Linked DNA regions of Arabidopsis thaliana. The protein of the gene in region 2 purifies or fractionates together with the protein of the main gene of each other region. This does not show direct contact. Each region holds a gene or a part of one and is shown on either strand. Other genes may lie near its edges.

Evidence for each region. Proteins that work in one complex are often made in the same cells at the same time.
Region 1: the proteins of AT3G49080 (region 2) and SSR16 fractionate together in Arabidopsis thaliana (co-fractionation; one large-scale study listed by BioGRID). This does not show direct contact.

Annotation. Positions count from the first base shown.
Region 1 is NC_003075.7:16,534,249-16,537,952, forward strand, and holds SSR16 (small subunit ribosomal protein 16), read right to left. Parts: upstream 1,977-3,704; 5' UTR 1,845-1,976; coding exon 1,712-1,844; intron 1,615-1,711; coding exon 1,569-1,614; intron 999-1,568; coding exon 836-998; 3' UTR 607-835; downstream 1-606. Other genes in the region: AT4G34630 (prostatic spermine-binding-like protein), read right to left, coding at 2,845-3,444.
Region 2 is NC_003074.8:18,194,955-18,198,554, reverse strand, and holds the start of AT3G49080 (Ribosomal protein S5 domain 2-like superfamily protein), read left to right. Parts: upstream 1-1,770; 5' UTR 1,771-1,897; coding exon 1,898-2,576; intron 2,577-3,053; coding exon 3,054-3,494; intron 3,495-3,600. Other genes in the region: AT3G49100 (Signal recognition particle, SRP9/SRP14 subunit), read right to left, coding at 257-333, 640-733, 1,280-1,348, 1,540-1,611. UniProt on the Arabidopsis thaliana protein: Mitochondrial ribosomal protein required for central cell maturation. May work together with PIA2 in controlling female gametophyte development, possibly by regulating the expression of some mitochondrial proteins.

The DNA.
Region 1 (3,704 bases), on a different chromosome or scaffold from region 2:
ATGTTGCAGCGAGAGGGTCAGAGCCAGAGATGCCGTAATAATACGAACAATGAACATCTCTGAAGGAAGAGAGAGAGAGAGAGAGAAAGAGAGAATCTAATGGGATACGAAGCGAGAGATTTTGTTGGCCCAATAGAGCTGTAATGTCCCAAAGACACATCCTTTTTTCCATAACTATAACATTTTTATTAGAAGACCAATTTAGTTTGAAATAGATTATTGTCTAGTTACTAGTCTCTTGCATGTGTTTTTAACACATATAGACGATACAAATACATTTTGGCAGATATTGAAACCAAAAAGACGGAACAAAATTTTGAAGAGAAGCAATATAAGAGTTTCAGACCTATATGAGAATAAGAACTAATTTCAAGATCAACGAGATTATATAACTACTACCATGTAGAAGTAAAGATATACATAAAAGGTAAGAACGAGGTTCTAATGTCCAAGATCATATTCAGGCAGATAACTTTTTTTTTTTTTTTTTTTGAGCAAATATGGGCCTAATTCCTTTTTTTAGCATACAATCCAGATATTGAGAATGAATCTTATTTTTGAAAATATGGGCCTCTTACCAAAGCCTATTTAGTCTAAAGTGAGAATTGTTAAATGTAAAAAGGCATGCTCATATTAAAGAATAAAAATTCACCAAACTCTGTTGCAGAAAAGTCTTAACCAACATAACATTAAACTGCTTTCACATAGAAAGCAAAAGTCTTAAACAACATTACATTAACTCCTTTCACATAAACAGAAAAGTCTTAAACAACATTACATAAACTCCTTTCACACAGACACAAAAGGCTCTTTCTTGCTCAACGCATCAACACTCTTAGTTCAAGATTTCACCTGTAATGGGTGAAACATGTTGGCTCGTAGACTTCTGCCCATTTTTCGAACCGACCACTACCATAGGCTTTGGTGGTATCAAACCGGCCCTGAAAAGCATGCTTTCCACTGTGTCTGTTGGTTGAGCTCCAACAGATAACCAGTACCTGCATTATTCGAGTACCATAGAGTGAAAATCAATTTCTTTCAACAGTTGCACAAAATAAAAAAGAAGTTTAGTTAGACACCAAGAACTGTGTGGATTTAGACTTTTAAACCAGTCTAATCAAATCAATCATACAAGCAAAACCAAGCCTCACAGAAAACTTGCACCAGATGAAATGCATTAGGTGTAGAAACAACCAAACATGACTGAGAGAAGCAAATGAATTAAGGATTGTAGCCTTATGCAAATAGAGTTTTGGACACAGAATCAACAGAAAGCATCTCAATTTGTCACAATCTAAGCAATTAGGCAGCATCATTGTGGCAAGAACAAGTTTATGACCTTGCAGAATACTAAAGAGAATGAATTAAGATGATTAAAAGACAAACAAGAAAACACATTCATGAGGAATAATCAATCATATGGATAATGTCGAGAAAGAGACTCTTTAGTGTTTCAGTCTTATCAAACAATCATGAGTTTCACATCTAACTGGTGTCCTAAAATACTTGACACAATTATACAAGCAAACAGGAATATGAAGATGATAGAACAAGTAAAAAAAACATACTTGATTCTGTCGAATTTGAGGCTCACTCTATCCGCATCTTCTTTGCCTGAAGACGTACAAGTAGATTCATGATAGCAGAGACATTAGGAAGTGTTCAATTTTACTGAGAATTGAGAAATGTATATAGAGGAGAAATAACGAACCTTGGAGTGGATCATAAAAGCCTAACACCTCGATTTGTTTACCGTCCCTGCGCGATTTTTCATCGGCGACAACTACACGATAGAAGGGTCGGTGTTTACAACCAAGACGCGCGAGCCTTATCTTCACCGTCATCTCTGCTTGGAAATTGAGGTCTGAGAAGTGAGAAGAAAGAAGATAAGTAAAGGTTTTTATTTAAGCTGGTGGGTTTTGGCTTTTTCCCCTTATCTGTGTTCTCTTTCTTCTGTTACGATCGTTATTGATAAGATGGGCCATGTTGGGCCAGTTTACATTTTATCTCTTTATTCACATTAAGCCCATTAGATCTGCTATACGTTTCTTTTCGTGATTTGCTATACAGAAGTCACTTATCTAAAATCTCGGATTATCCAGAAATTCCAAAATATTCAATCAGCTTCCTGTCTTTAAGGATCTTCCTAAAAGAAATTGCTTCAAAATGTTCAATTTGAGAACACCAGCATCTTGTTATCGTATAGGTGTTTGACTGTTAGTAGAGAGATATACGAAGTCCATAGTGCATGCAACAAGTTAGATATAATAAAATAAAATAAAGTTATCTCCAGTCTCAACCACTCAGATGTCGAAATTCAGAGTGATGCGTACATCCTACGAGTATGACTTTTCAAACAACCACCAACATTCACAAAAATTGCAAAAGCTTCTACAAAGATAACCAAATTAACCACCACCAAACACAAACCTTCTTCCTGTTAAATCATTGCTACAGTTTAGCTGTCGTTTTCAATTCTAAGGTTCACACAAGATTAAACGAGCTCATCTATCAAGAGTTATTATGATCCATTCATCATCTTCTCCATTTCAACACTACAATTTGCTAACCCAAGATTCACAATCACAATCTGATCAACCAAATTAAAGAGCCATCAAAGAAAGCGATCAGTTAATGAACAATGAATCCTAAAATGCGAGTTATTTAATTTCCATCATGTACAATGAGATCTTCAGAAGCATCCGAATTACTTACTACTAAAGAGGAATTGAAATTGAACTAACAAATTTACACATCAATTAAACCCAGAAACTGAGAAATTCTACCGAGAGTTCTTGAAGAAACCATCCCATCGCCTTGTGAAACTTCGAAATCCCAACACAATCAGCACTTGAATTTCATGCCGAGACCATGCTTACCACGAACGATACCAGGCTTCAAAAACGGAGATATCTTCGAGGCATAGACCTTGGCGATTGCTCTTTTCCCCAGTTTCCTCATCCTTTGTCTCCCCACCTTCTTACTCACGCTACGCGGAACCAACTCTTCGTCAAGATCATACGAATCGTCGTACTCGCGATCTTCTTCGCCGTCGTCATTAACACTATCTCCGTACGTAATTCCAACAGAATAACCAGAACCTCCACCGAGAAACATCATCCGCTGCTGAGACCATCCAAGATCATTCTCATCAACTTCATCGCGAACGACATCATCGCCAACATCATCATCACCATCCAGATCCACGGCGAGATCACCACCGTCAGCAATAGGAATTATCTCATGCGGCGGAGAAATGACAGAGGGTGCGACAAAGGAAGCGTCGTCAAGAGATATGACGTCATCGTCGGAAAGACTATCGACGGAGAAAGAATCGTCGGAGAACTCGCCATCAGAAGGATTAACAACTTCCCAGAGATCGAGATCAACTTCTTGATCGAGAATGAGAGGAGACATGGTGATAACCCTAGATCGCTGCGCCATTTTCGAAATTGTGTGTTGTTTAGAGGTTGCTTCTTTGATTTTTCAAGACTGTTTGTTTTTGATAACCAGAGGAAGTTACCCTATTAATAGAGGCAAACCACCGAGTGTTATCTTGTGCTAATTGGTAGTTACACTGTTGAAGATACGTATTTACAACCAGTTATATGTTGCCACGTAAGGATTATTTTGCCACCTCAGCGTCGCCAGAAAGTTTGCCAGTAAATAAATAAGTGGACATGTAAATTTGATGTCGTACATTT
Region 2 (3,600 bases):
AGGTGTTTTTCTCTTTTCAAAGACTATCTTTAGTCTTCTTACTAATCAAGCTATAAGGAGTTGGCCAACTTTCAAAATCCAAGTTAAAAAGGTTAGCTTTTGGGTTTAGGCTAATCCAAAAGTGATTAATCGATCAAAGTGTAAAAAAAAGTCGTAAGCTTTAGAACGAATCTTGACAACCCTACCATCTCAAAATATCAAACAAAAATGGATCAAAATCTTGATACCAAGACAAACGGAAAACAAATCTTGAGACTTATTGCTTCCTTCCTCTTCCTTTCTTGGCAGGCTGTGTCTCCATCTGTTCTTTCCCGGTGACTTCTGAGAGATCGACTGCATTATACAACCAACATAAATAAACAAAGTAAGCTATAATACACCCAATGTTACACAGCACAAAAGGAGCTTTCCTTTTAAAGGTTGTGAGATGATGCACATTCAAGTTCCATTCTTTCAAGATTGGTAGGAGAAAAGCGATGTTTTGAGAAAATAATAGCCGGTGACGATGTGATACATTGTCTCATAATAGAAATAACCTCATAGCTCAATAAAACAAAGGAGGTTTTTTTCTCAAACACTAAGAGATAGATGATGCATGTTCTTTCTTTAAGTTAGATATGCAGAAAATGAAATTTTTACCATCAGGTCCTCTGGCCATGAGGGTGAAAAATATGTTATTCAGTTTCTCCATCTTCTTCGCTTCTTGTGCTTGGTCTGTCTTGAACTTGAGACACTAAGTTAAAGGAAAAGTAGAAATAAATCTATCATATATATACTTCACATAATAAGAATGGACAAGAATGAAAACAAGAAGACTACAACAAGGACATCTAGTTAACCACAGAAGTTGATACAATGATTTACATCAAAACTCAGCCCAGCTTAAAGAGTTCTAAAGTATCACACTTCAACCTCCACCAAGAACTATTGCTCTGAAGAGAGGACTAGATCTGCTTATCTAACACATCGCCATGCAAGACATGTTAAATTCATCAAGACGTACGAAAACATAACCTATTAGCAATCACATTGACCAAGCCAAAACAAAAGTAACCACATAACTACGACAAGGTACGATGAAAACTCAACTAAAAACCAATATCTCTAGTAATCAATCATCATGGAACCCTAAATTACATTCTCCAAACCAAGCATCATACCATCAAACCTCGACGAATCAGATATCAACTTCAATAGCAAATATTGAATTCCATACTATTATATAAGATAAACTCAAAAGAAGCAGTGATCATAGAGAAACTAGACACAGTCAAATTACCTCTTTGTTATCAGTAACCTTAAGAACCAACTTGCCGTCACAGTGTCTATACTTCATCACATACCGAGTCTGCACCACAACAATTGAAACATTAGATTGCGACCAACACGACTTGATTCAAATCAATTATCAAGGTTACCAAAATTCCCAGTACAAAAATCGAGGAACTATGTTCAATTACCATAAATCAATCCAAATATCTCAAAATCAACCGTAAATAGTGAAATCGAAAGAGGAGAGCAAAAAAATAGTTAACCTACAGATTCCGGATCAGCTCGAAAAAGCTGAACAGATCGATCAACGAATTCGTCCCACGATGCGATATAAACCATCTTGATTCAACTAGATTAGCGATTCGATTTGAGGCGATTGGATTCTATGAAATCTCCGGGAGACTCGACGGAGAAACAGAGAAGCAAAAAGACGGCTTTTTATTTGTGTTTTCAGAAGAAAGAAAAAAAATTTGAGTGATGATCAAACCGGAATAAACCGACTAAAACCGAACCGGTTCCTTAGTGTTAAGATTTCTAAAAAGAAAAACCCTAACCGTTCTTCTTCGAACTTCTGCAACTTTGTTTCTCCCAAATCTGTGAATCTCAAGTGTTCGTCTTCACCATCATGCTCTCTCGTTTATTCCTTAGACATTCGAATCTCCGTTTCGTAACCCTAGTTTCATCGAAATCAAATTCTCAGATCTTCTCTTCGTTTATTCGTCCGCTTTCGACTAACAGTAGCGGCGGCGGAGGAAATGGTGACGGGAATGGTCGTAATCGGAATGATGTTCCGTGGAGTTTCACTGGAGTAAACGATGATAAGTCTGGACCTTTCTCTTCCGATGATTCTTTTGGTTCTTCTGGAGTTGCAGGATCTGGTTTACCTGGTGGAGAGGGGAAATGGCCGGAGGAGCCTAAGAGATGGAATATAAAGGAGGAAGAGGAAAAAGTTGTGTTTGATACTGGTGGTGAAGTAGGTCAAGGGATTGAGACTAGTCGCGAGAGGAGGGGTAATGAATGGGAGGAGACTAAGAGATGGGATATGAAGGAGGGAGAGGAGAAAGTTGTGTTTGGTGGCGGAGGAGATGAGGTGGATGGGTTTGGAATCAGGGGAGAGGTGAAATCTAATGAATGGGATGTGTCAAAGCCATGGAATTTGAAAGAGGAAGAGGAGGGAGTTGTGTTTGATACTGGTGGTGAAGTGCCGTTTAGCTTTGAGAATAGCTTGGAAATGGCGGAGGAAGAGCGTGTGAAGAAGGAGTTGATTGAGAAGGAAGAGAAGGAGCTTCTTGAGGTTATCAAGGGTGAGACTTTTTTAATTTGTTTTGCTGATTCTTAAGTTTTGATCTTATATGCAATGCACCAGTAGTTTCGATATGTGTCTAGTTTTGGAATGCAGTGACAAATGGGTAGCAAATTTGATCTCATGACTTTCCTTGTTAAGGTTAGATTTGGATTTGAGGGTTAAGTCAAGTAGCAAAGGTTGTGTAATCAATCTATTTATAGGCATGCTTGCTGAGTGGAGGATATGATAGTTTTTGGAGTAAGCTCGGATGTTGAAGAGGAATAAGCATTTGGGTAGAAAGACTTGTGTTTGAAGTGGATAGTTTTGTGCTTACTGACGCTAAGGAACAGTTTAGTGCTTATGTGTTTTTGCTATTAACAATGTTCAGCACAATAAATTGAAGAATTTGTTATTTTGATCACATTGGTAATGGATTCTGCTGCTAGTAAAACAAGCGCTAGAAGTAGAGTAATTGATTTGAAACTTACTATTGCAGGTCCTGATCGAGCATTTGGAGACCTTATTGCTAAGTCAGGTATAACAGATGAAATGCTAGATAGTTTAATAGCCTTGAAAGATTTCCAAGGGGTCGAAGGATTACCTCCTCTGACTGAGATTGAAAACCTGCGTCGTGAGAAAAGTTCAAAGAAGTCATCAAGAGCTGAGATAGAACTCCAGATGCAAGAGGACATTGCCAAAGCACGGGTGAGACAAGTTGACGAAACAGGTAGAGCCTATGGAACTGGAAGAAGAAAATGTAGCATTGCACGTGTTTGGATTCAACCTGGGGAAGGAAAATTTCAAGTTAATGAAAAAGAATTTGATGTCTATTTCCCTATGCTTGATCATCGCGCTGCTCTTCTACGCCCACTTGCTGAAACCAAAACCTTGGGTCGTTGGGATATTAAGTGCACTGTTAAAGGCGGTGGTACTACAGGTAAAACCTCTCCACAATCACTTCGTTTTCTTCGACGATTAGTCCCAAAGTTCTCTATTTACACTAGCAAGTATGATTTATGCTTAAGCTAGAGGATTTGGTCATA